2 linked regions of the Arabidopsis thaliana genome follow. The protein of the gene in region 1 interacts with the protein of each later gene in a pairwise test. Each region holds a gene or a part of one and is shown on either strand. Other genes may lie near its edges.

Region 1 (5,117 bases):
GTGTAGAGACCATTAGCATCAAGATGACCAATGTTAAGCTGAACTGAAGCATGATCCTTTGATGTGATCATTCTGTTTGTTGCCGAGCTAAACAAATTACCATTACACAACAATAGAATCAGCTTAGGCTACTTAATTAAGACAATTAGCTTAAGATTTTAATCAAACGTTACACAGAGAACAAAGAGAGCTGATATATACCATTTCCTTGGAATGTAGAGCTCTGTGACCTGACCTGCGTCGTTCTCCATTTTTGAGATTTAGCTTCAAAAAAAAATCGATCTGAGCAAGTAAACAAACAAAAAAACTAATCAGATGAGCAATAGAACCTCGAATTAAGAGATTCATCAAGAATAATTGATCACATTCAACAATAATATATAATCAACAAAAGACACAACGAGATAACTAATTCTGAAATCGAAACCTAGATTATTCCGATGCGTTAATTAGCAATACAGTGAAAGGAGATTAAGATACTACGGAGAAATTCTCACCTGCGAGGAAGAAGAAGAATCTGAGAGAGGTTTGGCGGCGACAAAGATAGGGTTTGCTTAATTCATAGGTTTATTAGATTTATAGTAGCGAGCTAGGGTTTGCTTATTTCATAGGAATGACTACTATACCCTTCAACTTTTAATTGAAGAGCAATAAAAACCGATCCAATTAGAGCGGTATACAAAATTAAATCAAACCGAAATACTAAACTTTTTCAACCAGAATTGTACCGACAGTTAATTGTAACCGGAATCGAACGTAACCAAACCATAAATACTGGTTCAGTTTGGTAGTAACTTAAGTTCATTCAATTTGATAACAAACTTTTATTATTGGTTCAAATGTTTGCTTCATGGATGAATTTTTCAGATTTTCTTGCATACTTTTTCCCAAAATGGTTTGTGGTAGACAATTGAGAATGATACACATAAAATGGTTGACAAGTTTGTTCTCTGTTTTGTAATAATGAGGAATTCAGTTTTTCTTGTTTGTGAAATTTTGACTCTTTATCGAAACCCTCTCAAGAACCTGAAATCACACATCAAAAACAAAGTACAAGAGACACAATATATAATCTAACGATTGTGACTGTTAAAGTTTAACAACTCATACAAGTATCACTTCACCCAATGTGTTTCTGTCCCGAAACTGCGGTCTCCAGCGTCTCCAAGCCCAGGGATTATGTACCTAGTTCATGACAAATACATAAGGACATTAAAATACAATCGCCAGTTTTCATATGGAAAGCCAAAGAACCTAATGACTTACCCCTTTTCATTGACTTCAGGATCAATAATTCCAGCATATACATGAAGCCTGAAATGTTTCAAATAGTAGCCAAACAGTTTAGTAAAAAGAGAGTTAACTAAATGGTAAGCAAGGTGAGAGTTGATCTTTTGCTATTGATTACCCGGGGAATTTCTCGTTAAGCTTCGATAGTGCAGGAGGTGCAGCAATCGCACAAATCTGTAATCAGAAAAATCAAAACAATTAACACTTCGATTTCTGACAAAAGCTGTTTCCTATATATATGCTTACCACTTTGATTTGCTGAACAGACAAACCACGTTCCTTCAATAGATCCATCGCCGCCATTATGGTACCACCTAAAATACAAGTTACTAAGTTACTAAACCTACGCTTCTAGCTATGAAACATTCGTATTACCATGTCATGCGTTCACATTCACATATTATCGTGTACATTTGAACATCAAACCCTAACTATACTTCTAATATGGAGGTGGCTAAAATGATAAGACTTTCTTACCTGTGGCAAGCACTGGGTCGACCAAAAATACTCTTGAATTCTTGGGAAATTCATCAGGCAACCTAAAGAAGATGTATCAAAGGTGTTATTATAAACACTTCAGTAACTACAAACACAATGCTGCAGAGAAGTTCTTACTTGTTAAGATACACCGATGGTAAAAGTGTTTTCTCATCTCTACTTACTCCTGTAAAAGAAAAGAAGCACGGGGACATCAATAAGCTATTTGATAAAAGTTTTCATTTTTGACATCCGAAGTTCAGGCAAGAGATGATATATAGCTAGATTACTAACCTAAATGATAAATTTTATTAGCAGGTAAAACTGAGGATGCGTGTTCCGCAAGAGCAAGACCAGCTCTTAATATCGGAACAACCTACACAGAGACAAAACCAAGAATTAGAAACGCTTACATGTAAGGTCGAAAAGAAAATATAGACAGGAAGAGTTTGAGGGATAAACAAACCGCAATAGGCTCTCTAGGATCAATGAATTCAACAGAAGCAGGACCCATTGGAGACATTATTTCACCCACAACAGTTGGCTTAACCGCATAGAGCAAAAAACAAAAAACAATAAGCAAAAAACGGGTAGGAAGAATTCAAGAATAATAGAGATGTGAAATTCTACGCACCAGCCACTCTCGTGATGCTTCATACATGAGTAATCTCCCTAGTTCAGCTATTGCATTCCCTAGATAATTAAAAAAACTCAAGCTTTAAAGATCAACACAGACTTATACTAGTAGCAAACCTAAAAAAACTCATATTCAAACGCAATGTAGCAGATAACACCAATCTAAGAGCTAAAGATTGTCCAACGAATCAAAAAAAAAAAAAAAAAAAATGGATGTAAAATTCAGTTCTTTAACAACAAACACTGGTTAAATCGCAGAAATACTCATAAGAATCTTATCTACTCACTGAAAACAGGACAAGGAGTTTGTTCATTTCTCAGAACAGAGATCCAGTGTTTGATCAAAGGATGTGGTGGCACAAAGACCTGAAACACCAGAATCAAATTCACATCTTTCACTTTCAAATCAAACTCAAAAAAAATCTGAAAATTGAAATCCTAGAGTTTTATTACCAGCATCCTGTTGCTCCCGTTAATGGAAGCCTCCGACGCAGCCATTTTTGTTCTAGCTCGTATAGTCCGTCGGGAAAGTGACGAAGAAGAAGCACCCAAATTCTTTAAAATAATCCAGAAATTCGAAAATCAAAATTCAGTTTGAATATGCAAAAGGCGTTACTGGAAAAGTGTGCTTTGGACATTAGAATAAATATATATATATACTCGATACCTGTGCGAGAATTGGGGAGGAATTAAAGGAGAGGAAAGAGGAAGGATTAGGGTTTAGGCGGCTGCTGCATTGTTGTCGGGGAGCAAAACGCAGCGTATCAGAAGAACACCTGAAAGCGTTACCAATTGAGCACGCCATTTTCGACGAGATGTCCGAATCTGGTTCGAGATTTTTGCAATGACGATAGCGCGGGCGAAGATTAACCGGTCGTCACTACTGTACCGAATAACTTTGGGTCTACTTATTACACGGCCCATTGGGCTTTTATATTAATTTTTAGCAATTTCTTTCCAAACAGAAATCTACAAATTAAGGAATAAATTAATAAATAATTTATTAATTTACATAGAGAGTTTTCTAATGTAGTAACTTTTTAAAAGTTTCTACAAGATATTTTTCATCATAGAGAATATCTTTCTAAAACCAATTGCAAGTAAAAAATAATTATCATGTCTATAAAACAATATCAAAAGTTTTGATACAGTAAAATATTATAACTAAATTCAAATAAGAACAAATACGAGTTTAAGCAAAAAAATATTAGAAATTTCTTACATATAATATATTAGATATATATATATTTTATATTTATACAATTACTAATTTATAATATTGATGGGATCATATATTTACATAGGATTTTCAAAAAAATTATTATTTTATTAATTTATCAATTTGTGTCACTTTTTACAGTCCCAACTCGGGACTGGAAAAAATTATTAATCTTATATAGATTATTAATTTATCGAGTATTAATTTATAGAGGTTTTACTATTACAATAAACTTGAAAACTTATTTAGACTAGACTCCTTAACTCTTCTCCTCTTCAACTCATTCATCAGTTTTTGTAACAAATCTCTGAAACTGTACAAACCAGACACGGATTCTTTGTCTGAGAATTCAGGCACAATTAAGAAGTCCTAAGCCCTGTTTGAAGATTCTCAAAAGTCTTTAACCAAATACAGCAAAAAATGTTTAGAGAAAGATCAAACCACAATCAAAAGTTTGTAAACCGAAATAGCAACAAAAGTCTAGAGAAAGATGAAACAACACACATAGAACCATGTCTTGTGGATGTAAGAAAGATTCACTTACCCTCTGTAGCAAAGTGATGTCTTTCTCAATGGTAACTTTCACTCTCGGCTTGATAGCTTTAATCGCTCTCTCCTCGTATTTGGCGAGTCCCTGAAGATCTGAATCTATCACTTCCTCAATTCTCTTCTTCCCAATCTTTGTCCTCGTAGCAAAATAAGGGAGCTCGGTGACCGAAGAGGCCACAAAAGCAAAATCGAAGACGTCATCATCTCCGTCCAGAGCACGAATGAGTGACTTTAGAAACGATATCATAGCGTATGCTGAAGTGAAAGATCGGGAAGCCTAGATCGGAGATAACTCGAAATGTTAAGTCCCGCGAAAGAGGAAGAGAAAAAAAGAATTCACGGAAGAAAAAAAACTTAAAACGGAGGACAAAGACGAGAAGGAAGGTGATTATCATCCGATTCACTTCCAACCCGACGATTGAACACTCCAAGTTAAACGAGAAAGAAGGACTCACGGTCCGAGTTTCTAAGGAACATCCGAATTTCTTTCAACTCTCGGTCATACTTCGCAAAAGGTAATCGGATTTTATGACCCGCATGTGAGCTAAGCTTTAGCGGGTTAGACCGAGTTAAGAGACATAGAGAATCCGAGAGGAAGTACCCCGAGAAAAGAAGAACCAAGAAAAAACTTGATCCGAGAAAGGAGTTGTCGTTAGGTGGTTAGATATAATCTTTTTCAATTAGTAAAATTAAAAATTAAAATTTTTTTATATATATAATAGCAAAAAGTATGAATTGTTTATAATTGATAAAATATATAATACTAAATTACATAATAAATTTTATAATTGGTTCAATTGAAATTCAATATAATAATTGCACAAATGCAAGATAATTGATACAGCTATATTGTAAAAGTAATCGAAGGATGTGTAGATTATCCAAGTGGTTAGGATTTTATAACTTGTACAATATCTATTTTCACTGTAATATAACTATATAAGTT
Region 2 (5,283 bases), on another chromosome or scaffold:
TGTGATCAAACTTGAGTATCATTATTTCTGAGGACTAAAGTCTGATGTTGGGTTAGGTTGATGATTCTTGATGTTCATGACAAGTGTAGTTGTTCAAATTATCCAGCACCGGATGGTTTTGGTTTGTCAATTGTTTTGTAATGTTTCCTGCTTAACGTCAGGTTGGAGCTTCGTCCGTTTGGGATTGATGTCATCAATGTTGTCCCGGGAGGAATAAGAACAAACATAGCAAACTCAGCTGTGGCAACTTTCAACAAAATGCCTGAGCTGAAACTATACAAGCCTTATGAAGAAGCTATCAGAGAAAGGGCGTTTATATCACAGAGGATGAATCCAACTCCTGCAGAAACATTTGCCAGAGACACTGTAGCCGCAGTGCTGAAGAAGAATCCACCCGCTTGGTTCTCGTCAGGCAGGTATTCAACCCTCATGGCAGTCATGTATCATATGCCCTTATGGCTCAAAGATTTTTTCCAGAAGCAGGTTTTAATGAAGAAGTGATAATCAGGTTGGGGTTTAAGACAGAATGTACCTTAAACACGAATGTAAAAGCTTTGTTCAAATTGTTAATTGAATCTCTTATGTCTCCATGTTTGAGTCAGTTCGGTTCTTAAGGTATAGAAGTATACATACATACAGGAAGGAGATAGAGAGTGAACAGGAGAAATTATTACATTATGTTGTAGAAACTTGTGGTACAAATATCTGTAACGGGAAAAGGTGAGGATTCTACAACCAGAGGAACAGTAGTTCTACTTTGATTTGACCCAACAATGTAACATCGAAACCGCATTCGAGCAGATAAAAAGGGTCAGAACTATCTAAAGCTATTAACTAACATCATTTCTATTTTAAGAATGGTGTGGAGCTCCGTAATACATTATCCCTGGTGGCTGGAAAGTTGGACCTTGTTGAGATTGCTGAGCTGAGTTCGACTGAGGAATTTGAGGCTGTTGATTACCTATCAAATGTGGTGGTGGTGGTGGTGGCGGAAGCCCAGGTGGCATTAACGGAATGTTGCCAAAGGCGTAAGGGTTATTCATTACCGGTGGTTTTAGGAACTGTGGTGGTGGTGGATTAGGTATTACATGGTACTGACCTTGTGTGGTAGGTGTCTGATTCTGGGAGTTGTTGTAAGAAGGGAATGAAGCATTAGTGTCTGAGACCGGAACTGTGCTCTCTGATTTGGATAGACCAGAAGTCTTTGTTGCTTCAGCTGCGAATGAAGATAGAACAGACTGCATTATCATATGTGATGAGGTTGACGCTGTGAGCATTGCAGCAATAGATGCAGGCGTCATTTTTGATGCTTGACCAGATTTGGTGTTGTCATTTGTCTCGGTTATCGTAGTGGCAGCAGTTGTTTGTTTTGATGTGTAATCCTCATCATTAAGCCGTTTCTGCATGTTTTGGGCTTCCTCTGTTTGTTCTTTAGCTACCTAATAATAACAAAATGGTTCATTAGCTGAAAGCTCAGGTTGGTCACAAAACGAAGATGCAGCGGGAATTCAAACACATACCTGAATCTGAGCTTTAAGATTGTCCAGTTCGGATTCCTGACACAAGTAAGCAAAAGAATGAAAATTAGATTACCGAAATAGTGAACTTGCTAAGTGCAAGAAAAGTATTTTGTACCTGTTCACGTAGTGCATCTTTAAGCTGGTTCACAAGGGAACTTCTACTTCCTTGAACAGATTTAAGTTTCTCAATACATTGTCTCAAAAGGTATTCTTCTTCTTCCAATTCTTTCGCCAAAGATTTTCTCTTCGGGTTGTCTTTTGCTGTAGAGACACAAGTTGATTTACACTAGATTTTGATAATCGATAATCAGTGTAACAGGTTTTTACCAGTAGAGCAGGCTTCTTCAACATCTTTCTCCATCTTCCGGATTCGTTTAACTGCAGACTTACATTTATTCATCTCAGCTTCTTCATTTGAGTTTTCTGCAACAACCAAATGATATGCTGATGCTATCTTCTCAGCCACACCACCACTTGATGCTAATTTCTGCATCCAAAAGCAAAAAACCGGGAAAATGCAATATGACTGATATTAATAGGGGAGAAAAGAAAACTTTGGTGTTTAGTGTTTTACCGTTCTGGACGATTTTGACTCCCGTTTTGAAGATTTGGATCCGCGAGGCCGCTTTTTGCTGATATCAAGTGGCAGAGGAACATCTTCTCCAAGCATTACATCTTTAAGACTCTTTGAACGTGATCCAAACACTCTTCTTTCTTCCCATATCTTGATCTACAAATCACGTAAACCAAATATCTCAATTAGCAATTAACTTCTCTATTCATGTCTTCTGTATTGCATCACACATCTCAAGAACCTTAAAGCTCTTCATCCCTAACATCAAACACTAGACTACCCCCAATACAAAACATGAGATTGAGCATTAACCAGACAAGAACAAAAGCTCCAACGAAGAATGAAAGAAAGAGAGAGAGAGAGAAATACCACACGTGCGACAGCGCTTTTGCCATTATCATCTCCTTGAGAAACAATGTCTTTAAGAGCCTTAGGAAGAACATTCCAGAACTCTTGCACAAACTCATTACCTTGACGCTTACTGTTCTGAAGAATATCATTAGCCAAATACAAAAGAGGGACTTTCTGATCCATCTCTGTACTGTGAAACTGTTTCTCCCATGTCGTAACGATCAATTCTGCTTTGCTCCGATTGAATATACACCAATGTGACAGAGCTTGATTCCAAAAGAGTCAAGAAACCAAACATCGAAAAAATTAAGCACAATTACAAGATCTAAGCATAAAGGTAAAAACTTTCATAATAAACTCGAGATGAAGTGGTTAAAAGAGGATACTTTCGATAGACTGTTGACTGCTATTGAGCTTAGCGAGCTTATCAATCAGGATCTGATCACTGAACACACTACTCATCCCACCAAAACTCACAAAACCCTAGAAAGCAGAGATTTTGGAGAATGTAAAAGATGCTCAAATCCCACAAGTGGTTTACGAATTAGAGTGAAAAGCAGCCGGATTTGCTTAAAGCCGGTGATCTGGGAGACAGAAGAATGCGGCGGAGCTGGACAACTCGTGCGGCGGAGGGTGAACGGAGAAAGAACCCTAGAAGGCAGAAGCAGCTGAGTAGTAGTAAGTAGGAGATGGTCGAAAACGACGACGTTTGACGCCGAAATCGATCCCTAGAGCTAAAATCGCAGAGAAGAGAGGAATCAGGAAACTTGTGTTTTTTTCTTTTGTGCTTTCAAACTTTAAGATGGGCTTTCACTTTCTTTCTTCTCCATATTTTGTTCCACTTCAATTATTTTATCATTTTGTTTCACCTAAAAAAAAGATTTAATATTTACATGGAAAAAAACAAAAACTTTAAATTTAAAAAATCTAAGAATGTATAGTAGATATTTTTATTAATAAAACTAAATAAACATTATACTACATGGTATTAATACACCAGAAGAATCTGGTGAAAACTTGAAAAACATTGCTTTCAAGTAGTGTAAGCCAAAGATGGAAACTTTTTTAGATCAAATAGGATTTCTCCAATGGCTTTTCACTCGCTATCTTCCTCCTCACTGTCTTCTAATTTGATATGGTTCATGTTCCTCTCTAGAGGAGGGAGGCCATCTTCATCATCCTCCTCTGATTCATCACCAGATTCACCATCTTTCTTAACATCTAAACCCAAAACAAGAAATAACAGGAAGCAAGTGAGATTTCAGCTTATGTTAGGTATGTGGTAATGACAGAGAGATTAGAAAAAGATGTGCCTTTACGTTCTTCGAGCGCAGGTGGTTGTTTTGGGATCTGAGTTTGCTGAGTAAGCCAAGAATTTTGAACTGAGATGATCTCAGCGCTATTCTCACATTTTGAGTACTCCTTTAGAATATCCCTGCGATATAGCGAGACCTTGTTAAAAGACACATAGCTCAATTGTATTCACCGATCAAAAAGCAAAAATGATGTGACGATGTTGAACTTCTTCGGTTTTGTTACTTGTTCAAAGATAAAAAGGCATGACCCCATTTGAATTTTCCTAACAAAAGTTCTGCAGTTTCCTTCTCCCCACTGATTGGAAAACAGATAGAGTAAGACATTAGAAAACCGGATAATGTATGACGAATAGAAGAGACGGATGGGTTTTAGGAGAAGATGTTATGGACTCACCATAGTATTAAAGCGGCAGATAAAGCCTCCACACATGATAACTCACATGGTCTTCCATAATTTACTGGATTAGCTGCTACTAACCATGGTACTGCAACCATAAAAGAAATTAGAAACATTTCCTAGAGATCTGGATACATATTTATCAGTTAAGTCGTAAGTTCTTACAAAGACGAGGTGCAGTACAACGCAGCTTTGCAAACGGGACATCAGTTAGACGTGCCCAAGAACAATCAACAACAGCTAATCCTTTCCTTTTAATCAGATCATAGTCTTCCCTTGAAACACATTGTCTACCAACTGGACTGCCAATATCATGAGACTCAAAATACGATACTAAAAACATCATCCAATGTCATAACAAATGACCCTAGGATACAGTAAAAAGAGGTATACCTTAAAACAACACCCCCGAATCCAGTGTTAACCCGTAATTCCTACAAAATCATCACAGAAGAATTTTTCAGCTGAAACACTTAGAAAGAAGAGGACATATATATTTTTACTAGCTCAAGATACTTACTTTTAACAAGTTAAATCTAGCAAGCTTACGACCTGTGCACCTCTTTGCATCACATTGACCAAAATCCTAAACAAAAAAAACACAGTTGTGAGTACTGAAGCAACAATTTGTTCTTCGAAGTTTCATTGGCTTTGAATAAAACATAAAGGAAACTATGCATACCCACATTGCCAATTGAACTTTTGGAACTGGTGCTTCATCCTCAGGTTCTACATAAAAAATCACCCAATAAGAGCATTACTGGTACTGGTAGTAATACTAAAACAATTAAAGCAGATCACATAACCACCACACAACATAAAAATCCAACTTTTCAGTACCTTGATCAAGAGGAAGCGATTCATCTTCCCTGCAATTTCAACGAAATCACAATTACTCAACTACGACAAATCGAAAACAGAGCTAAACCTCAATTCGCAAAGATAAGATTTACCTTGCAAGATTATCAGTCCGACCACGACTTGAATTACCTCCTTTAGATCGATTATGCTTCCCGTAACCCATTTTTCCGGCGATTTTCCCGACAAATGCAAAGGTTTTTTTGATCGGCTTAGGGTTTTATATGTAAATTAGGTTTTCTAATGGTAGCCGACGGAACGATGTTA

The links.
Region 2: the proteins of UPP (region 1) and AT5G10060 interact in a two-hybrid assay, tested with the Arabidopsis thaliana proteins (one large-scale study listed by BioGRID).

What each region holds. Positions count from the first base shown.
Region 1 is NC_003074.8:19,955,799-19,960,915, forward strand, and holds UPP (uracil phosphoribosyltransferase), read right to left. Parts: upstream 3,278-5,117; 5' UTR 3,209-3,277; coding exon 3,071-3,208; intron 3,052-3,070; exon of another isoform or gene 2,959-3,051; coding exon 2,857-2,958; intron 2,770-2,856; coding exon 2,691-2,769; intron 2,461-2,690; coding exon 2,402-2,460; intron 2,312-2,401; coding exon 2,234-2,311; intron 2,144-2,233; coding exon 2,062-2,143; intron 1,955-2,061; coding exon 1,906-1,954; intron 1,830-1,905; coding exon 1,768-1,829; intron 1,605-1,767; coding exon 1,537-1,604; intron 1,465-1,536; coding exon 1,409-1,464; intron 1,315-1,408; coding exon 1,267-1,314; intron 1,186-1,266; coding exon 1,116-1,185; 3' UTR 792-1,115; downstream 1-791. Other genes in the region: AT3G53890 (Ribosomal protein S21e), read right to left, coding at 1-87, 202-251; AT3G53910 (malate dehydrogenase-like protein), read right to left, coding at 4,058-4,102, 4,167-4,426, 4,627-4,648. UniProt on the Arabidopsis thaliana protein: Uracil phosphoribosyltransferase (UPRT) that catalyzes the conversion of uracil and 5-phospho-alpha-D-ribose 1-diphosphate (PRPP) to UMP and diphosphate.
Region 2 is NC_003076.8:3,145,143-3,150,425, forward strand, and holds AT5G10060 (ENTH/VHS family protein), read right to left. Parts: upstream 3,259-5,283; 5' UTR 2,908-3,258; coding exon 2,832-2,907; intron 2,712-2,831; coding exon 2,464-2,711; intron 2,251-2,463; coding exon 2,095-2,250; intron 2,008-2,094; coding exon 1,848-2,007; intron 1,782-1,847; coding exon 1,636-1,781; intron 1,557-1,635; coding exon 1,521-1,556; intron 1,440-1,520; coding exon 852-1,439; 3' UTR 607-851; downstream 1-606. Other genes in the region: AT5G10050 (NAD(P)-binding Rossmann-fold superfamily protein), read left to right, coding at 162-501; AT5G10070 (RNase L inhibitor protein-like protein), read right to left, coding at 3,542-3,666, 3,759-3,880, 3,985-4,056, 4,156-4,246, 4,324-4,460, 4,552-4,592, 4,679-4,744, 4,841-4,887 and 2 more.